2 linked regions of the Struthio camelus genome follow. The protein of the gene in region 2 purifies or fractionates together with the protein of the main gene of each other region. This does not show direct contact. Links are inferred from orthologs where the notes say so. Each region holds a gene or a part of one and is shown on either strand. Other genes may lie near its edges.

What was found.
Region 1: the proteins of ASXL1 (region 2) and OGT purify together in Homo sapiens (affinity purification with mass spectrometry; 3 studies listed by BioGRID and IntAct, with this or other methods). This does not show direct contact. The link is inferred for Struthio camelus from reciprocal best matches to the Homo sapiens genes ASXL1 and OGT.

The regions. Positions count from the first base shown.
Region 1 is NC_090952.1:25,817,476-25,828,606, forward strand, and holds the start of OGT (UDP-N-acetylglucosamine--peptide N-acetylglucosaminyltransferase 110 kDa subunit), read left to right. Parts: upstream 1-6,080; 5' UTR 6,081-6,370; coding exon 6,371-6,407; intron 6,408-10,150; coding exon 10,151-10,331; intron 10,332-11,131. Other genes in the region: TAF1 (transcription initiation factor TFIID subunit 1), read left to right, coding at 854-979, 2,278-2,376, 2,663-2,813, 3,463-3,640, 4,820-5,036. UniProt on the Homo sapiens protein: Catalyzes the transfer of a single N-acetylglucosamine from UDP-GlcNAc to a serine or threonine residue in cytoplasmic and nuclear proteins resulting in their modification with a beta-linked N-acetylglucosamine (O-GlcNAc).
Region 2 is NC_090959.1:18,696,982-18,708,112, reverse strand, and holds the start of ASXL1 (polycomb group protein ASXL1), read right to left. Parts: upstream 7,048-11,131; 5' UTR 6,967-7,047; coding exon 6,907-6,966; intron 6,621-6,906; exon of another isoform or gene 6,380-6,620; coding exon of another isoform or gene 6,344-6,379; intron 6,240-6,343; exon of another isoform or gene 6,109-6,239; coding exon of another isoform or gene 6,070-6,108; intron 5,204-6,069; exon of another isoform or gene 4,506-5,203; coding exon of another isoform or gene 4,446-4,505; intron 1,740-4,445; coding exon 1,657-1,739; intron 1-1,656.

The sequences.
Region 1 (11,131 bases), on a different chromosome or scaffold from region 2:
CTGGCTGTGCTTCTTGGCTGGAGGTACCCTCCCACTTCCTACACTCCCAGACTTGTCATGGCTTGCAGGTCTGCTGAGGGTTGCTTGGCTTTAGATCCCTTTAGTCAAAGGTAGTTGTGATAACTAAAACTTCCCTCCCCATATGACCTTCAGGAGTTGGACTCTGAGATATAAAAAGCAAATACAGCAAGTAGTTTTAGAGGTTCCTGATGAGACAGTGATTTACACAGAAATGATTGAAAGTTGAAGTTTTATTACTTCATATGTGATAAAGTAGTTTTTGTCCAGTTCTGATGGCAGCAGTTTTTCAGCATTTGTGCTTGTTATGCTACTTCCGTTGTAAAAAACATAAGAAGGGCCATGCTGAGTCAAACCACAGGTTGATATGATCAAGTCCTCTGTCTCTGGCAGAAGTGAGTGGATGCAAACATACAGTGATCCTTCTTATGGTGAAGCCTCTCTGCTTCTGGCAGTTGGCAGCTCAGGTACCTTAAAATGACATCGTACCTGGACCATTGTGTTTATGAGCTGGGAGAGACACATTCTCTGCAGGTCTCCAAAATCCTGTGAGAGTCCATTTACAGTTTTGGCCTCTGCGTGAAAGTACTGCCCTCCATTTTAAAACCTGCTATTTGACAAACCTCAAGCTTGAGGTTGTGAGCCATTGCCTTAATCCGTGTTTGTTCCTAAGAATAAATTGCCTTGATTAAACAGTGTTTAATAACATAAACACTGAGCCAAACAAATGCATTTTGCATTAAGTCCTGAAATCTCAGTCTTGCCTCTCAAGGTATTGTTCTAGTCTCAGTTCAGTGCCTGAGAACATTGTCTCCTGTTTCCACATATACTTTAGCCACCTGATTTATATGATGCCAACACTTCCCTCAGTATGTCACGTGATGCTTCAGTCTATCAAGATGAGAGCAATTTGTCTGCTATGGACACTCCCATCACTGTCCCAGAGAAGCGAGGAACACAGGTCAGACTCCTCCCTTTTTTCATGTGGCTGCAGAGTTGGGTTGTATGAACAAATTACTGAAAGGAGGCAATCACGTTGTAGGAAACAGGTGACAACAACAGCAGGTTTCCCAAGCAGAGCTGGGAACCCATTTCCAAAGCTATGTGCTTTCCTTCATTTTGACTGCTCTAGTGGAAAAAGAAAAAATTAAAGAGCCCTCGGAGTTTGGACGCTTGTGAAATCTACCACTCAGATTCCTAAGGATCAAAAGCTGCAAAAGAATCTGCCTAAGGCCAGATATTTGTTTGCTTCACTACTTCTGGGAGTAGAAACCTGGTGACTCATGCTTCAGAGTGCTAATATGCAGTCCCCCATTGATTCTGAATAGGGAAATGGGGAAGTATATTCTAAAGGTTTGGAGAATCGTAATTAGTTTATTATGGTTGTATTCAGTGCCCCTTAGAAACTATACAAACTCCTAGGAAGAGATGGTTGGCATTGTAGATACCTTGTGTCTGTGAAAGAAAGAAAGAGGGGAAAAAAAAAAAAAAAGAAAGACAAGGTTAAAGGTGTTAAATCACTATAAATGAATTGGTTACAGGAACCAGAGTTGTATTTTTTCTTAGTCTTCCTTCCACGTTAAACAAAAAAAAGTTGGTTGGGTGAGAAGGCACAACGGAAGGTGATATGGTAATGTGAGCATAAAAATAAACAATCAGGAGAGGGAGAAAGGTGAGGAGAGCCCCAAGGTTGAAGCTGGTACTAGAAAGACTAATGAGAGCCACTCTGAGCAATCCAGACCAGCAGAGTTTGAATATGACCGGTTCTGTCTAGATTGCTGTTGTTTGTGGCTTGGAGAATGGAAGTCTTGAAGTCTTCTGTAGGTTTAGAATTTACAGTCCTTGGATCAGAATCTGCATCTACCTTGTACTCACGATGGCTGGGGGAAGAACGGGAGAGAAGGGCAGGAAAAGATTTGCTGGAACTGCTGACTGTTGTGAAAATATCTTGTGAAAACATGTACTTTTAAAGATCTAGTGGTCTATTCCAGAAATAGCTAGGTAAACAAGACCTCGGGTGCTTTAAGGCTGGAGATTTCCTTTTCACAGATGAGCACATCAGGAGAAAGGTGGGTGGAGACAGTGTACTCTCTGATCTTGGATTAAAGGAAGAAAGGACCCTTGCTCTGAGAGTGACTTCCCCCCACCCTCCCCTTTCTTCCCCCCACTCATCATTGTGGTCTGGATGTCAGTCCTACCTTTGGCTTATGTCCATTAGTACCTTCCTCAATGGTGTCGCTATTTGTGTTCCCCATTCAGATGCGCCAGGGGCGAGGTAGGCTGGGCGAGGAAGACTCTGACGTAGATATTGAAGGGTTTGATGAGGATGATGATGGGAAACCTAAGACTCCAGCCCCAGTGAGTATATTTACAGAAATCCCATCCACAGTCCACATGTTGACTTGCATCCTTGTGGTAGAAGTCTCCATAGTATAAGGGATGTATGCTGTCTCTAGCATCCTGAATGGCAGCGTATTCACAGCAGTAGTTAAGACAATTAAATGTAGTTTTAAAATGTCAGCATTACAAAGCAAATTAACGAATACGTCAAACTGAACTGTGAGATAAAAAATAGGCGTATGCTGGAAACGGCAGTAGTTTATACAACGTCTGAACCTAATGATTCCTGTTCTGAATGACGTAGGAAGTTGAGGATGCAGATGGTGATCTTGCTGATGAAGAAGAAGGATCATCCCAGCAGCCCCAGGCCAGCGTCCTCTATGAAGATTTGCTCATGTCAGATGGAGAGGATGATGATGATGGGAGTGATGAAGAAGGAGATAATCCTTTCTCATGTAGGTTTCCCTTTTTATATAACAAGGTTGAATAGGAACTAGTTGTTCACAAACCCAGCAACTTTCTTGTCCTTCCATCACAAAAACATAACGGGATTATTGGGATTAATTAATAATTAGTCAATTAATAATTGGGATACATAGGCCAAGTGGTCTGGCAGTCACAAAGGAAAAGAGACCAAAAGGACAAGATGAAAAAACTGGATGGGCAGAGATTACCAAAAGCACACAATTTTGTTGATGGGAAACCATGTGATCAATGTTATTATCAAGAGCTGGAAGAGGAGTTTGAAGGCTCTTCAGATTGTTTCCCTCTCTTTCTAAAGACGTGTCCATGCAGAAAAGCATGCGGTGATATTTAGAGATGGCTTCAGAAAATTATTATGGGGGGGGGGGGAGTTAGAATCAAGAAAGAAAAGAGGTGGTAGAAGTACTTGAGTAGAAGAATTAGATTTTTTTTTTTTTGAATAACATCAGAAATGGCTACTCAGTAAGTGATACCAGGTACCCTTTCTGCTGCATTTTGGAAACTACTTCCTATACATTCCTTACGGTCAATATTGTGTCCTTTTAACAAATAAAGACAGTATGTATGTCACTGAGAGAACAAAACTGTTGATTTATGAACAAGTGTTGGCTTATTGCACAGCTATCCAACTGAGTGAGAGCGGCAGCGATTCAGATGTGGAGTCCAGTGCAGTGAGACCCAAACAACCTCATGTTCTTCAAGAGAATACACGAATGGGCATGGACAATGAAGAAAGTATGATGTCTTATGAAGGAGATGGTGGGGAGACATCTCATGTCATGGAGGACAGTAATATCAGGTAATTAGAGCAAAGAATGTTGTTAAAATATTTCTTTCTTCAGAACAAAGTCCCTTCTGTTAGAGATTTCTGAAGTGTTTATGACAAAGAGCTGGAGAATGTCTCATGTTCTTGTTAAGTTACTCTGTTACTGGTTTTAGTGTTGCACCTGTAATTGCAACTTACTTTTGAAGTTCTTGTTGACAGGAATTTGGTTTTGCTTTTAGACCATCGCTAATGAAAAATATTTGTTAAAATAATAAAATTAAGAATCACTTTTTCTTGCAAGTTAAATAACTTACTGTGCATAGTATTTTTTGAAGGCAAGGAAAATGAACCTTGTTTTAGATGGTCTCAGAAATTAGTAAGTGCCTTTGAAGCTAAAAGATAATATAGCTGATTAACGTCAAGCTGTTTTTCTTTGAGAGTAATAATTTCCTTCCTTGGAAGAAAATTGCTTGCTTGAAGTCCAAAAGAACAGCAAAGAATAGGAATATGTATATTGTGTATCTTGGAATGAGTTCCATTATTAGAAAATGGCAAGTACAGCAATAGTAGCTTTATTTTCTGCACTGATTTGAGAAAATACTGATCTACTTTTCCTTCTCCGGCCATTCTGTAGAGAGTTAGCATTAGATTCTCTGTTCTTTTTTTTTTTTTTTTTAATTGAAAGAACTCACTTCCATAATGTTGTTATTGGTATTTGCCTAATAAATTATTTTACAGGCCAGCTGTCATAATAGAGATAAGACCTGCCCATAAGAGTAGTTACGCTGGATTAGGCAAATGGTCCATCCAGCCCAGTACCTTGGCAATAGCCAATAGTAGATGCTAGAGAAGCGGATGAGAATGGGCTGTGCTCTCGTTGGAATTGCTGTGCTGTCTGCCTTTCCCATCTCCAGTAAAGGTGACAGATGGAAGGTGCTGGAACAAGTAGAGAACTCCGATTTTTTTTTTTTTTTGCCCTGAGTATTTCAGATTGGGTTGAGGATGTTGATAGATAACTATTTCATCGGGAGAGCTGTTTCTTAGTTAACAAAACTGGTCACTGATCAAATTGAATTGCACAATGTTTCAAAGTGTTTCACAGCACTTCCACTCAGGGACATTTTACAGGAGTAAAAATGTTACAGACAGAATATCTGATGCCAACAACTGATTTGAAATAGTAGTATAAGAAGAGTATATTCTTTCTTCCAGCTATGGCAGCTATGAAGAACCAGACCCAAAATCCAACACAAGAGATACTAGTTTCAGCAGTATTGGAGGGTATGAAATCTCAGAAGAGGAGGAAGAGGAGGAAGAGCAGCGTTGTGGGCCGAGCGTACTAAGTCAGGTCCATCTGTCTGAGGACGAGGAAGACAGTGAGGATTTTCATTCCATTGCAGGAGACAGTGACTTGGACTCAGATGAATAAACTTCTCGGGAAGCTCCCTTTCCCTGAGACGGCAGTCATCTTGGGCTACTCTTGGCTCATGAACTACTAACATCCCAGCTGGGTATAAGAAACAACATGGTGCAGTCTGTGTTAATACGAAACAGCTTTTTTTTTTTTAATAGTAGTTTTTATTGTTCTAAAACTTGTTACGTGACTGAGTAAATAGTGAAAAATAAGCTTTAGAGAAACATGCCCAGCTGAAGTACTGGGCTGGTGTGATCTTCACTAGTTCTAGAATCCAGCTGAAGACCTTTAATGGTTTGTTCTTCCTTCTTTATAGATGTAATTTCTCAAAAATAGTAGCTTGTTGGATTCATGCATTTCTGCCAGGGAGAGATGGTTGCTCAGAGTACAATGTCTGCAGTTGTTTTGATATCAAAACAATTGTAAAATAAGAACTTTCCCTTTATGAAATGACAGTTACCTGGGAACAGAGTATGAATGCATTCTCTCCTGACTACTGTCTACCTTGAATGTGTCAGTGAACAGCTGCCCTATTGGTTTTTTTTTTTTTTTTAAGCTGCGATTGGCCACAGAAAACAAAATTTGCTAGTTGGAGTCTTCAGGAATTTTCAGGCTGCTTGTATCCTGGGTGTGAGATTCCTTATGTTTAGTCAAGTGAGAAGAAAGCACAGACTTTGGTACTGTACTTACTGGTTAAATTAATTGTAAATAAAACTCAGGATGGTTTGAAGATGGGCTCCTGCTGTGCTCGTGCGTCCCCGAGGTCCCCCCCCGCTCTCGGGCTACCTCCCAGCGGCGCTTTCCGGGCGGAGTCCGGCCGCTCCCCTCCCCTCCCCTCCCCCGCCCCCGGCGGCCCCGGGCTGTCCCGGCAGGCCCCGCGCGCCGCCGGCACCCGGATGTGCCCGCGGACTCCATGTGCGGGCAGAGCGGCGCGAGGGGAGGGCGGGCGCGCAGGCGCAGTTCCTCCCCGTTTGTCGCAATGGCTTCGCGCGGAAGGATACGCGCATTGACAAAGCCGTCGCCGCCCCTCGCCCGAAGCCGCCGAAGGCGGAGCGTGGCGGAAGGAGACGCATCCAGGTCCGGCAGAGATTTCTCCGCCGCGCAGGGGCCCGCCCGGCGCCGCTCTCTCGCGCCGCCCGGACTATTTCGTGAGCGGAGATAGGTCCGGCAGCGGCCATTCGGCTGTGTGCTGCCTCCGCTGCCGCCAGCGCCATTTCGGGAGCCGCCGCCTTAGCGTGCCGGGAGCGTGGGGAGCTCGGTCCTGCTCCGCGTGCCCCAGCCTAGCGGCCCCCTGCGTGCCCGCGGCCGTTCTGCTGCCTCCGCCCGAGCCCCGCCGGCCTCCCTTCGCGATGGCGACCTCCGTGGGGAACGTAGCTGACAGCACAGGTACTGCGGCCTGCCGCGCGGGGACGGGCTCGGGGGCGCGCCGGCAGGCCGGGCCCCGCCGCCGCCGCCGCCCTGCGGGGGCCGGGCGCTGCCCTTGCCCGCGGGGCCAGCCGGAGCCCGAGCGCCGCGCTCCCCGCTCCCGGCGGAACTTTCCAGAAGCGGCGGCGGCTCCCGGCGCGGCCCCCGCCGCCGTTGTTCGCGTGTCGGTTCGGCTCGCGGCGCCGCCGGGCGGGCCCGGTCGCGGCGCGAGGCCCCGGCTCTGCCGCCAGCCGCAGGGAGCCGGCCCGTGCCGCGGCTGCCCGGCGGCTGCGTAGGAAAACGCTCCTCCAGGAGGCCGAGATGATTAGTTCTGAGGGGGGGTGGTTTCTTATGTCTATATTTATCTGGCAATTAGGTTTTTACAGAGGACGCAAAAGGATGAAAGCCTGACCTAAAACGTAAATTGATTTTTCCAGAATTTCTCTCGCTATATTTAACCAGGAGGTCGCTCCTGGAATAGCATAGCAGGGCAACTTTTTCTGGCTAGAAGGACAGCGTGCTCTTGCTGAGAAAGGTGCTCTCTTCAGTTTACAGATCTAGAACGCGGGGGCGGAGGGACAAAATCCCCCTTCCTGCCTTCAGGGCAAGGAGAAGGCCCTGCATCCCGGAAGGATGAACAGAAAACACAGCTTTTTCCGCTAGAGTTTTTTGGGGCCTTCTGTTACCAGAGAGCAACGAAGGGTCTGAAAAGGTGAAACAGGATGATGGAAAAGTAGGGAAACAAGGTTATACAGGGAAAGAGACGCGCTACTGGTAGGAGTGACGCAAAGGGAAGCGGGAGTGGTACAAAGGTGGAGATGGAGAGAGGGCAACTAGCTTCTGTACGGCATTGCTGATAACGCCTTCCACCTCAGCCAGAACCACTCACCTCCTCCCCTGATCTGCAGCATCCTCTCGGGGCCTTGAGCTGTGGAGGTGACAAGGACGTGTATGGGGAGGGGAGCGTTCCCTGTTCCTTGCCACCACCACCTCCCGTGTGGAGGTGGCAACTATTCCTGTCTGCGCCTAGATTTTATCCAAATGCAAAGCTGGGTGCGAGCGCACATGAAGTGCTTGGCTTGCTATTTCTGGAGAATTTTTGTCTTGTGTACGGTTGTGGTATTTCTGCACGGGCTTTTTGTTTTGTGTGCGTTCTCTAAAAGTATCAGGAAAGGTCATTGTTGTAGCACATGCTATGCTTTTCCAAGGTCGTAATTAAGGCACATAGTACATGCTGGCATAGGTACGCAAGTTCATGTAATACAGCAGGTGAATGTTTATAAGACTTGGTAAGGGATTCTTTTGGCTATAACTCTTTCACTGGCGTTGTTTTTTTTTTAAATGGATTCTGTGAGCAACTGTGAGTGGCAGTATTATGGATTCCTTGGATAACGTGATTCTCTTCTGTAGTAGCCCTAGTAAACGTTGAGCTCGTTTTGAAGCCTGCGGTAGTTGTCCACTTGCACTTTCCTACCTGCTTGTGAAGAGGATTGCTGCTAAAATGTGTCTTGGGAGAGATGGCTGACTGTCTTACTGCAAGTGACTAGTTTGCTTTATCTCAGTTGGTAGGGTTTGTTTTGTAAGGGGACTTCATAGATGAAAGAAATCTTAGTGTTTCACTCGTTTTGTTGTTCTCATTAACAATTTTTATTCATGGGTTTTATATGAAATTTTCTATTTTTAAAATGAATTTTATGAAATTTTCTTTTTTTTTTTTTTCATTTTCTCTCTGTTGCCCCTACAACTGTAACTTCAGTTTCAGTTTTCTGTTTTGCTTAAATAGGCAAAGCATAGTATGTAGGTAAGTTAGAAGGTTCCTTCCAAGTGGTGATAAGAATTTAAGTCTAAGTTTTTGTGGGGTTTTTTGTTTATTTGTTTTGTGTTAGCATTCGAATTTAATAATACCCTTGGAGTTTATTTGAAGAAATGATTGAATTAGGTCCACGGAGCATGCACTAGTTTCCCCCTTTTTGCACTGTCAGCAGAACTTGAAAATACAGCAGCTGTCAGATGAGCTAAACCTGTGTGACTGTTAACAACAGAAGGTAGGCAAGGAACAGCATGTTTGTACTTCAGTATTCTTACTTGTCAGCCACTTCAAATTTTGGTAAATGATGCTGTCATTTTCACGTTAAATAACGCTTGTACATGTTTACTGTCAGTAGGTTTAACCAGATGCAGAAGTCCACGTTTTCCATAGGCTGGGTTTGGAAAGGTCTTAAGCTAGGCTCCTTGAAAAAAGGACTTAATCTGTGTGAAGATACTTGATTAGTATTTTGTGACGTCTTTGGAAGTGAGTAGTCGTGCTAGTTTCAGTGAAGCCAGAACCGGTTAAAGTTTTCAACACCGACAGAGACAATGCATCTGGAATAACAGCTTTAGTTACCTCCTGTAGTGTTTGCGGTCTTCAAAACCCAGCAGTGCTAAAAAGCTCTCTTTAAAAGAACTTAAATGGCTTCCATCAATCTCAAGTCCGTTAAACACTAGATAATAACTCTGTGCCTAATCTCCTCGTGATTATTTTTCTATTGCATTAGCAAATTTCCTTGTATTAGGAAGGATTTACCTGTGCTTCGTTGTATCAAAAATGTAAAACTCTATGTCTTGGTGGGAAATGTTTAATAAGCGAGTTTAAAAGTGACTGCAGGACTGAAGAAGGGCAAATAAGAGACATTTGCAGTAGTTGAAACATATTTTTATACTTTTAATAAGTAATTTTATATCGTAAGTATAAAATAAAAAGACAATTTGAGGGCAGATCCTTCTTTTTAGGATGAACGTTTTTTTTTTTCCCCCAAGATGCGCTTACCATATCTATCTTCTAGGATAGAACTGTACTTTGTAAGACAACTTACTTTTCACAAAAAAGGTTGTTAATCTAAAACAGGTGATATTTTACTCAAGTTTTTTGTTCTCTGTGAATATGTTGTTAACAGTAAAAGCACTTTGTCACTCCAGTTCCAGCTCGACACCCAGAATTAGCGAATCCTTTTCTGTATCCTGTGCTTTGTAAAGACTGCTTCTGTGGGCCAACAGCATAAAAATCACAGCTATCGTTCTGAGACCAAAATTGATTTTGATGGGAGAATTTTTACTCATTATAGATAATACAGCCTGATAACAGAGGTTGGAAGAAATGTTGTGTGTTACACTTGTATTTATTTATTTATTCATTCATTTTTGTTACGGGCTTTCACGTGCTACAAATCTACTGCTACAGCAAAACTTTTTTTTTTTTTTGAGTCCTTTGAAGTTTTTGTCTGCTGTCCTCTTCATTTCTCAATTAATGGTTTTTAGAACTTGTCTTTAATACTATGAAGTATAAGACTTACAGTTGGGGAAAAGTCAACAGATTCATTGTTTTGTTACTAGCACTTTTAGTGTTATGAACCAAAGTACAATATTATTTTGGGAATGTTGTCAGATATTTTTCAGGTTATTGGAAAATGATTGACTTGTAATGACTCTCTGTGTTTATACGCTTATTATTAACTGATGAGGTTATGGACTATTATACCCATCATGTTAGAAGTGTCATAACTATAGATTGAGGTATGAAGATCTGAGAGTTTTAAATGTCACATGCCGTAGTACTTTATGTAATTTCAAGCATTTTCATCCTTTAGTTTTGCACATCTTTTTTTTTTTGCTTAAACATTTTTTTGTTTTGTTTCCATTATCTAACTTTTTGTTTTCCCCCCTTAAATGTTTTGGTGATTCTCCAGAACCAACGAAACGTATGCTTTCCTTCCAAGGGTTAGCGGAGTTGGCTCATCGTGAATATCAGGCAGGAGACTTTGAAGCAGCAGAGAGACACTGCATGCAACTTTGGAGACAAGAGCCTGATAATACTGGTGTGCTTTTATTACTGTCGTCCATTCACTTCCAGTGTCGCAGACTGGACAGGTAGGAGACCTGAGGTGTCCTGTCAAGCTTTACTTGTAGTTTGCACCTCTCGTAACATTGAGCACAGCTGACAAAAGTTCTGTTACAACTGCGGTTTTATCGTTGAACACAAATACTGACTAACCTCTTGGCAGCAGTAAGAATTGGTCCGAAAATGTTCTTTCTTTCTGAATTTTGCTAGGGCAAAAGAAATCCGAATTGGAATTGCTAGCCTTGCAACAAACAACAGATGTTGTTACTCATGTTTTACTTTGATATCAGAATATCAGCCATGCTTGTATGTACCAGAGGCGTCTGCACTTGCAAAAAATAATGATCGTTCATTCCACCTGAAGTGTGGGGTTTTGCGGGGAATTTTTTTTTAGTTGCAAGACTGTGACAAGATGATTGTTTGCTGTGAAGTGGCGTGATTAGTTGAATGTTTTGTTCTCTGAGAGTTGTCTCCCTGTTCTCTTTCTATCTGCTCCTGAGCTTGCTTTTTGTTCCTCAAGCATTTCAAACGGTATTATCTGTTTCAGCTGTGACTCTGTGTGTGCTGGCAATGGAAGTAACTTGTGAGTGGGATTTAATTTACGTAGGCTTGTAAACAAAGCCGTAATAATTCAGATACGGGGAAAAGTGAGTGGGAGACAGAATTTTACACCTACGTATCTTTGCTATATCCTATTTCTTGAGAAGAGTATCCAGTAAAATATTGCTTAGAGAAAAGCTGTCAGATGTTGGCAGAGGCTTAACAGACATTCTACAGTAACCTTTTTTTAAACTGCGTTTAGCTCAGGTTTAGCCAGAGGCTTGCAGGA
Region 2 (11,131 bases):
GCTTCAGGAAGGCCTTCTATACAAGTACCAACAAAATCTGCCACATATTTACACTGCCTGTATTAAGTGAACAATTACACTCTGAAGAAAGTAGTCTTTTCTTACAGTGAAGAATTAAGAATAGGGAAAGGAAAAACAGATATCCCAGAGGAAGAGCACGAACTTCTAAATAAACAAGTTAGCTTTATGGGATTTAACTTGACACATGCTGTGAAGTCTGGTTTCTAGCTACCTATTGTGACAACTATTGTCACTTGTCAAAGCCGGGAGAACACCAAGATAATTTAACACATGAAAAGAGACCTGCTATTACTTTTAGTAAAGATAGTCTATGCATGTAGATCTTCAGCTACCTGCTAAAGTAACAGGACTTATGATGGGATAGGACTGATGAAAGAAAGATGCACAGTAATGATGAAAATAGAAAGATGTATGAAGGTTTCCATTAAAACCTATCTGAATTCTACTTGGAGCTGTGAAACCACTACTCATAGCCACACCACTAAAAACCTACTTGGTAATAATCCCAAGTAACAAGTGGGTGTTCTAACAGCTCCGATATCGATGCAGCAATACAGGCTGGCACGATACCTCTCTAAACGACAGTAACTCCTACACATTATACCTCTGTCTGCATCACAAAGTTGTTCACTGTTCAAACCATCGCAGCTGTTTCCTGATTTCAGGACAAATAAGAAGCAGAAACAAATTAACGTTTTGAGTTGTTACGTCCCAGAAGAAATTAGTTTACTTCCTGTAGCTAGGTAGAGGTTCATAAAACCGGGGTGAGGGAGCAAATATGATTAGAAACAGTCCACACATCTGGATTCTCCAGTATGCATGAGCCAAAGACGATCTGTTGCGCCACTGGTGTCAAACTCATTTTTTTTTAAAATCACACTGCCCTGAGGCATTTATACCATCACAGTTGCCCACTTTTTTGATCTGCAAGACATTTTCTATTTCTCTTCTATGCAGTCACAGAAACAGATGGAAGTTCACGTGAACTTAACTGAGGAAAACAGTCTTCCATTCTGTAGCATCCTAGGTTCCATACCAGGTTCTTTTCTGGGCAAAATACATACTGAAACGTATATTTCCTTTATACAAGTGTCAAGAGCCACAGTAGCATGAGCCACACTACCACAGTGCTCTAGAATCTGATCAGAAGCCAGCATACTAATACAAAATAAAGGTGTTTTCTTGACTCTCCTAAAAGGTAACATCTGCTCTAGAAATGAAGTATGAGAGGGGACGGAACTTAAAACTGTTACTGAACTAGAATCACAATAGCAGAAACTACTGGGAGCTACTGATAAGAGAAATACACAAGTGGTACAATACAACGCAGGAGTCTGATCTGCGACAGGCATTTATTTTACAATAAATGGATGAAGGGGTTTCTGCATATGATAATAACCGGAATCTTTTCTTGGATTTTTTTTTTTTTTTTAAATCAAGGATAATCAGGCAGTATATACTGTCTTCCCAAATCACTACGCTCGAAAGAAAAAAAAAAAAAAGAAAAGAAAAAAAATGGAAGAGAAGTGGGCTGGAAGTGAGAGGCAGACTTGCACGAGGCAACCCAAGCCTTTATATGCAGCCTCCTCCATGTTCCACGCACGCTATGTTTTAAACAAGATGATCAATACTAACCTCATTTCCTTCAGTCCTTCAGCCTCTATGACCTGCAGAATCTGTTTTGGGGTCATAGGAGCATCAGAGTAGTTTTCCAGCACCTGAAGAAACAGAAACACAAGGCGTCAGTATAGAATTTGCTTCTAAATTAATAGAACTACTCCATAAGCTGGGATTCAAATACAATACTATGCCTCTTAAAACTTTATTCATCTACAAATGACATGCTAAAAAAATCCAGGCTACCTCAAGATTAGATCACGTTGTTACAAAGGGCTCACATTCATCTCATCCCTAACTAACTGAAATACAAACATGAAGAAGAAAGAAGTAGAATTTGGCCCTGCCCCTATAACATGAAGTCTGTGGTAAAGCTTCCAGACTTTCAATATGCATTAGACTGAGTTGGTACCACATAAGACCTTCAAACCTATGCAGCGGTTCTCCTTACCGTACATACCTTCTTACATCTCTATACAGCATCTAGTATCTTGCTGGTGATAAAAGTGTTACTGTATAACTACACAATTCAACAGTGCATCTTCCTTGAAATACTGCATTCATTTCATCTTCGTTCCATCTCAAGAGGAGTACCACATGTAAAATTCAGAATTCTTGTCAGAGGAGGACATAATTCAGAAAAGAACAAGAAGAACAATAGAGGATGTGGAAAAAATATGGACAGAGACACTACAAAGATTTGGACTGATTGCTTTAGAAAGCAAATGAGTAACAGGAGATATTAAAAAGGCAATAAAGTTTGGAACAGCTCAACCTTTCATATAATATACGAAGAACAGAATCATCACTTATGTATGGAAAAATTAAAGGGGTCATTTTAAAAATATTTTTTTCTTAAGTGAAACTTACTGCTTCTAAACATTTAGAAGCAAAAATGCACCAGGATTCAAAAAGAGGGCTAGACATTTCTATGGATAAGAAGATCATCGAGATAAACAGGAAACAATGAACAAAAATAAGTTGCAGTAGACATAAATCACTGTTTCTTTGGAAGCAGATTACCCTATAGCTGCCTAATATGCACTGCTTCTTGTGCCTTCCATTGGAGCAGCCAGTGTCGCTTTCCGAATGCAGAAAGATACTGAATTCAATAAACCTCTAGGTCTGATGTAGCATAAAGATTTCAACATAGGCATATGACATGGCCTGAAACACTCAAGAAAAGCAGCAACAGATATTCAATCTGGAACTTTTTGATCATAATCATAGACTAAATTCCCCTAACGTCATGGCTACAATGATGCACAATCCTGAATTCATTTGTCACCATGCTTTAAAGGAGTCAGCAACACGATACTGTCTTTCAGTTTGACTTGTGTGAGAAGCCAGTGGAGGAACCCAAATGCCCCTTTATATCAGCAGCATCTAGAACTGAGTCACTGCAGCAACATGTCAAGGCACAAAGCCTGCAGTTTGCCTTGGAGAGTTGCATTAGCAAGACGTTTGCAAAAAAAGTTGTGCTGGGCACCATTTGTATTCCCACACTGTCTCCCAGCCCCCAACAAGTAGATAGTAACGTAGGGGTTGGGTTTTTGAGTTCTACAGTTCAACTACATTTCAGAGTAAAAGGAATTTCTTAAATCATATCCATCCTAGAATTATTTTTCAGATTCCTGAAGATCATAAGAATCAGTAGTGCTAACCTGGCAGGGGACAGAAACTTGAGAACTCTGTAACCTGAGATAAAACACAATGAAAACACAAGGAGTTTAAAGAAAAGATCAAAGAAAACGATGAACCGTGCTGAAACAGAGTAAACAATTTTAATTCTGAGTCAATACAGCTCCATCACATTTTTTCCTATGCTAATCAAAAAACTCCACAGGTTACAATTTTCTATGCCTCTTCACAAACTGTCATCCCCCATCACTCAAATGGAATAAACATCTGACAAGGGGAAAGACATCACTTGAGAATCAAATGCAAGAGCCATGAAATGGAACAGGCCTCTTTTGAGAAATAAGGAAATTCTTCACAGCTTATAAAACCTCTCTCAAGTGTCAGACACAGCAGCAAGCAAAATACACAGCCCAAAACTTAGTATTTGCATAAAGATAGAAGAATCTATGCTCAGGGGAACAAATTCCCATCAACAGCTATATCAAATCTACCGGCTACTTTAAGGAAGAACCAGGAGAGAGAAGAACATACGACATCAGCCACCAAAAGCCCTGTCTCCAGTAGTTATCCCCCATCCGTTTCCATCCTCAGACTACCAATGTTACATTAACCTTTCAACAGAAGCTACCGCTTAAACAATACCAGCTATTCCTTTCCCACAAAAAGATATTTTTCCCCCCTTGATTATTTATAGTACTGGTAGTCAAGGGTTCCTACGACCATAGTTACAGAAGTTTACATCACTCCCCCAATTAATTTCCTAGTAGCATAGATGCCTAGCCCTGACAGCACTTGTTGAAGAGTCCTATGGCTCTGTGCGTTCAAATGAATCTTTACAGATTTTATGGAATGTGCATAATATTAGCTCTGTAGGAACAGCAACACTGAAAAGCACTTTTGCCTACAATTCTTGGAAACATCTAGAGGAATACAAAATATAATAGCGAGTGTCAGAAAGGAAAATTAAAAGCATTTTGACAGGGAGCGCGTGTAAGCCTAGTGTTAAATAAAGATCTATTTTTAGTGGATTTACAATCAGTCCTGCAAGCTGGAAGTGCAGTACGCAACTGTAGGTCTCTCTAAGTGGATAATCTGGTATGAGATCGTTCTATTTCTGGTTCATCAGTTGCTCAAAGATGCAGTTGAGGCTCAAACGTCTCATGTACCTGGGGTGCCTGTGGCTGAGGTTCTAGCCAAGAGACAGCTGTAGTTGTGAAGAGATTCATTTCCCATCACTGAACGACGGTGAGGGACTTTATCATGAGATGGCTTCTTAGAAGTTGCAGTTTTGCGTAGCGTTTTCGGCAGCCTATAAACACTGATTTATAACCTATTAGAGTTCAGCACATTTGAATGAGAGAGGATTTTGTGCAAGAACATCCAGCACCAGCTCCAGCCCCAAGATCACCTACTGGCAAAGCATCCCAAATACCTGTAGTGAAGTGCTTGACTCACAGAACTAGGACCTTGAAAAGAAATACAAGATGAAGTACTACACCAGCAGATTTATGCAGTAAAATACTACAGTGGCTAGTTTATGCCTCTTTACAGTTTTTCAGGCTAAGTCATAAAGGCCTAAAATATTAGGATTTCCACACAAAAGATTACACTAGTTGCTGGAAGGTAGATACTTAAGCATGATTAGGTTTCCTCTTGGCAAGCATTAAGGAAATTCTGTGATATCCAGAAAACCCTACACACAAGGGGCATCAAGACCAAATCCTAGAACACCCTTAATACCAGACACTAGTCACAGCTCGGCTCATCCATACGATTCCTTTTGAATGTCTACATGCTCCGGTATGCACCCCGCCAAGTTAAAACAAAAGAAACAAAAAACAACAACAAAGAAAACACAAGCAAACAAAATACTCCCAAGCTCTATAAATCTGTTTCTACAGACGTCCACGTACTCCATAGCAAGTACTCCCACATCCTCCCAAACCAACCTGTAAGTACCCCTGACAGATCCAACAGAAGGAAACCACAGCAACCCGTCTGAACCTGCACAGGGGCAGCAGGATCATCACTTACTCCATATACTGGCATTTATACGTCTATACAGATCTATTTCACTGTGTCACGAAAGAGAGCAGTTCCTACACAGAGGCCAAAAAGAGCAAGCTTCTTCCAATCAGCATTAAAAGTAGACAATAGCAACTAGCAGCACTATGCGGTGTGCAAAGAGCTGACCATGCCGTTTGCAACGTGACTGCTCTCCGTGTCAGCTCAGTGGGAGAACACGGTCACGGAGCCTCAGTTGCAGATCAGAACGATACCTCGGCTGCTCAAGAACAGGCGAACAGTTCAGTACCCAACTCAAGCAACGAGCCTAAACACCTCAAAATTTATTCCTTAAATAAAATTAAGTAACTTGCTGATTAGTTCATGTTCACTGTTTGATAGACACTAAAGTTCTTTTACTTTTTATACTTCCTAGCTTATAAATTGGGTTCAAGACTAGGGTATGATTTCAACTCTTTATAAAGAGAAAAGACTGTTCTCCTATTGCAATGGTCAAACACCACCGATGTTCCAACAGACTTCTCAAATGCAATCAGGCAAACATCAATATTTAAGTTTAAACCTTCAATAAACAGATTCTCAAGGGGGAAAAAAAAAAAAAGATACATAAGCACTGGTACATCTCCTAAAAATCAGCAACCAAAAAAAATTTCGGATCACAAGGACACTAACCTCAAACAAAGAGTTATTATTATATGCAATATGAATATACATCAGCTACGCTGCCTATGCTTTGGGCACCATTGGCATATGGAAGAAACCTACAGTCTCAATAATCAAAGCAGAAACTTTTGACAGCAGCATTTCTCAGACTTCAAGCCAGGCCTCTCAGGAGGCTCCAGTTCCTCCCACTGAGTTTAAGTCATCTGAAAAGAAGAAAACAAACCATTCTCAAGCTAAGAACGGTTGTCAGACTGTCTGCTGTTGCTGAGCTGCAACTAAAAATGAAAAACACAAACAGTTAAAAGCTACCCTTGCTAAACAGCGGTATTTTCACTGGCCCCTTTCCAAAACCTATCAGAGTCTCGCACACCTTTACCTGTGGCCTTGAGGGAAGCTCCTGCAGCGCAGGCATTGAGAAACCACTCCAAACTACACACTCCTGGCAACCTCTTTTCAAGAAGATTTTTATCTCAGAGGGGAAAGGGCACGTGCTCGCACTTTCTCCTAAAAGCGCGTCCTCCGTGCCCGCCTTTCCGGGGAACCTCTGCACGGGAGCCCTGCGCCCCTTTGTGAGCGAAACCACGCCAAATGGTTTTCTCCCCTTCCCGCCTGCCTCGGGAGGCGGCACAACCGGGGAGCAGGCAGGCTGCGGCAACGGCGGAAGGGGCCCCGGGCCCCCGGACCGGCGCCGTCCCGCTGCCCGGCGGCGAGGAGCGGGCGCCCCCCCGCCCCCCTCCCCGCCCCGCCCCGCCGCAGGGGGGAGCCCGGGGCCCGGCGGCACCGGAGCGGGGAGGGGGGGAGGGAAGGGGAGGGGAGGCCCCTCAGGGCCAGAGCAGGGCCGCGGCGCCCCCTCCCCGGGGCCTGCGCGAGGCCCGGCGCCCCCCGCGGAGCCGCTCCGGGGCGGCGGCGGCGGCGGCCGTGCCCCCCCCCTCCCCTCACCAGGCGGGCGGCCTCAGCCCACGTGCGCTCCTTCTTCCTCCGCTGCTTCATCTCCTTCATCTTCCTCCCGCGCGGGGCGGCGGGACGGCGGGCGCGGACCGTTAGGCGGCGGCGGCGGGGAGGGGCGGGGCGGCGGCGGCGCGCGGGAGGGGCGGGGCGCGGCGGGGCGCGGCGGGCGGGGCGGGGCGGCGCGCGGCGGGGCGGCTCCGGGCGCTAAGGAATGCGGCGGCGGCGGCGGCGGCGGCTCGGGCCCGACATAACAACGGGGTCAAAGGGCTCGGCGCGGGGGGGAGGGGGCGGGGCTTCGCGACGGTGGCCGCGGCGGGACACGGCCGGGCTCGCGCGCCGCCAGCGAAGGGGCGGGGACGGGAGCGCGAGCCGCGCGGCGGGCCGGGGCCGCGTTTGAAGGAAAACAAACCGCAAGGGCCGCTGGGAGTTGTAGTCCCGCCCGCCGCCCGCCGCCGGGGCCGGGGCCGCGCCGCCGGACTACAGCTCCCAGCGGGCGCTGCCCGCCCGCCGCGCGGCACGCTGGGCCGCGCCCTCTGCCTGCGCGCTCGCCTCAGGCCGCGGGCCCGGGCGCTCCCCGCGCCGAGCGGGAGCGGGCAGCAGAACCCAGCCGGGCCCAGCCCGGCGGCCTGCGCGGCTCCGAGCCCCGCCGTGCCCGGTGGCTGCTCTGGCTGCCGTTTCCTGAGGCCCCCGGGGGGCTGCGGTGCCCCCGGTGCGGGTCGCCGGTGCTCAGCCTCGGTAGAGGTGAGAGCGCTGGCTGTTGGCGGCCTCCGCGCCGCCTGCCTCACCGCGGTGCTCCTCGCTTCGCTCGCGCTTACAGTCTAATCATAACTGAGCCTGCTCGGAGTTTCGGTTTTTTATTTTTTGAAGAAAAGCGCATAGCGCTTTGTAAAACATGCAGCGAAGGAACCCAGCGATTACTTATAAATTAAGAATGGAAAAAGGGCATGTTTTGGTAGATGCAATAAATCTTTATTACACGTTGTTTTTTAGGATCACTTTTACATTCCTAGACAAAAGAGATGATACAAATAAATATAAGCTGTAAAACCTATGGACAGAACTATTGACAGGTTCTTTGTCTACAGATCACCTAAAAGAAGGTCAAGATCAGTGTATCTCCAAGGGGCTGCGAATTCCCATAAAGACAGCTACACCCAGGAGGAGACCCTCGGGCACTTCATTTCAAACGGAAAGAGGGAACTGAAGAAGGTAATAAGCACCTAGACCACAGAGCATTAAACCCACCATCGTACAGCGCAGCGCAAACAGGACGAGTGTTCTCACTCAGTTCCATCTCAGTGTCTAATTACGGCTTTTGCAGGTTATGGTCTTCCGATTTGTGTATTAACACAGCAGAAACAGACCCACAAGAGTCACACTGCTCTTTTTAAGCCCTGGTGCATGGTAAACATTATAGATGAGAAGAGAGGATAGATCCAGTTTAGAGGTGTCTCTCTGAAAGTTGGCAAACACTCTGTTTTCAGTGGAGGCAGACTTACTACATCAAAAGAAAAAAAAAAAAAAACCAAAAAATACTCTTGAACAGAAGCCTGATCTGTATAATGCATCGATGTAGTCCAAAATGCCAGGCTAGATGTGTGTATTTTTGAAGATTCAAGCAGCATGCATATATTTTTTAAAAAGCCATCAGACCTATATTAAGAATTTTAAGAAAGTGCTTTAATTCTTACGCTTCGTTTTCACATGGTGCTTGCTCCCAGAGCCAAAGACCTACTTTTACTGCATGTAACTTTTAAAAAAAGTTAGATCCCATTATACAGATCAGAGCAAAAATGAGAAGGATATTAAACATTCCTGTGAAGAGACTATGATTGCACACACTGTCCAAGGGCCTCTTCCAGGAGTCTGCTGGATTTCCTGTCTTTGGCTGTTAACCTGCAGGAAGCCCAGATGGTTCAGATAACACCCAGAGAGACGCAAACTTGGCAGGATCATTTTTTAGAAACTTCAAGCCAGAACTCAGTGCGTTTTGTTGGGCTATGACAATATATTTTATCTTAATATCATTGCCACTGAGTATCTATTCACGGGTAAGTCAATCAACATGAGAATCTAAGCTTCTGTAACAATCTGAGATTGCCCATGAATACACTAACCACCTCTCTATCCACAGCTCCGATTTAAATACAGTGACTAAACATCCAATTTTATTATTTTTCCATCCTATTGAATTTCTTTCACCTTGCTAATGAATTTCTACAAAATTAAAAGCAGAGCCTTTCTGACATATTAACCAGCTAGCTTATTAACACTAAAACAAGAACAGTTTAGGTTTGCACTGTGATTTCCACTGTACCAATCCTGCCACAAGGGGAGTTTTCAGCTTTTAATATCAAATTCCCTATGGAAAAGCAGTGACTGAAGTAGTGCACACATGTGCAAACACCATTGTGTCTGTGCATGCATATTCATATAGAAACATATGTGTACATATCTAGGTACACATATGTGTATATGTATTATGTTGCCCCTTGTTTCGTTTCCATTTTCTGAGCACTTAAGCCGTACAATTATCTTTTAAAACGCTGAAGTACAGAAGATTATGTGCTAGAGGGAAAGAAGATGACACTACGTTATGCAACAAGAGCCAATTAAAAGACTCTTCGTACACAAACAGTGGACTATAGAAAGAAAGATTAGGCCAGGTTTCCATTCCAGGTTGAAAGAAATTTGTCCGATGGCTACTCTTTCAACTATAGGCAAACTCCTCTTTCCTCCACCAAAACTAAAAAATATATATTAATCTCGTGATCCAGAAAAGTACTCCATGAATCAAAGCAGCTGAGTCAGAATTTAACCCGGGCCCACCTGGGCAGCTGGCTCACCGAGGCATCATGCCCGCAAGATGCAGAGGTGAGCTCTGTGCTGAGTGTTCAGTTCTTTCTGCTCATGGGAGTCAGATACAATGGAGTTCTCCAGCCTGGACGAAGTCACTCAGTGGATACTTAACGAGCACACAAGGTAGAGTCCATACATCAGAGCATTTCTAAAACCAGGCAAGTCCTCATACACTCACACATGTCAGTCTGGAGGAAGTCATCAGTGAGGGAGAGGAAACAGGTAAAAACATTCATAGGATGACAGCCAACAGCAACCAGAAAAAGTAACATCCCAAGTCTCAATATACAATGAACTAAAACTTACAACTGAGCTGTGAGACACTAGACAGGAACACCTTACTCTGTCTTCAACAGGGCAGTTCCACTTCCCTCTACCCTGCCACACAAGCCTGCAGCATTACAGCAGCCTGCTTATTCATAGGGAAGCTTTAGGAGGAGGCCATCGAAAGCAGGAGTTCTTCCTCCCTTGTTTCAAAGTACAACCCCTGGAATTAATACCAGATTCCATTACTCAGACTCAGTTACACAGGGCCTTCACTCCTACCAGGCCCCGAGTGGTCCGGGAGGTGGAAAGGGAGAAGTTCTAACGTGGAACAGGCGAGGCACAGAAGGTACCAAATACTGAACCTCCTTAGACCCCAAGCAGAGGGACCATACTCACAAGAACAGTGCACTTAAAGATAGCTTCGCTTTATGGTGCTATGCTCTTTACCCAGCCTAAAGGGGAAGAGTAGAGTCAGCCCTATGAGCCTGCTAGGAAGAAAGCTCCAAGCCAATGCTACATTTCATATGAACAGTGGGAGATGTGAGAAAATGGCCATACATCACCCCACAGTTCAAAGACTCAGCATGGGTACTGGTTTCAAATGCCAGGGGTAAAGATGGAGGCAAGAGAGAGGAAGATAGCTGTGGAGCTGGCACTGGTATGCAGATGTATTCGTTGACAAGGTGGTTCCTATTGACGGGGTAAGGTCTGTAGGAGGTCAGTTTAGAGGAGCTCTTAACTTATGCCTGTAAACAAGTAAAGGATTTCAGTTTCTATTGCTTCCTTTCCAGAGAGCACAAAGATGCTTCCGAGACCCTTCTTTGTTCTAGGTTTCTGAAAGGGAGGCACAGCTAGCTGTGAGCACGTGATGACAGCTGCCATCCTGACTGCTCAGACCAATGTATTAACCCCAAATGATGATGCCAGTCTTTTAAGCAGGAAGAGGAAAAAACTAAGCACCTACTCAAGTTTGGATACACCTTCTGCTTTTTAACCTCATTTCGTTCTCACTATGAAGTTCTGTAGCGGTGGTTCTGTTGAGATGACTTTCAACTCTGTCTTCTTATTGCCCAACAGCAAAAAAAAAAAA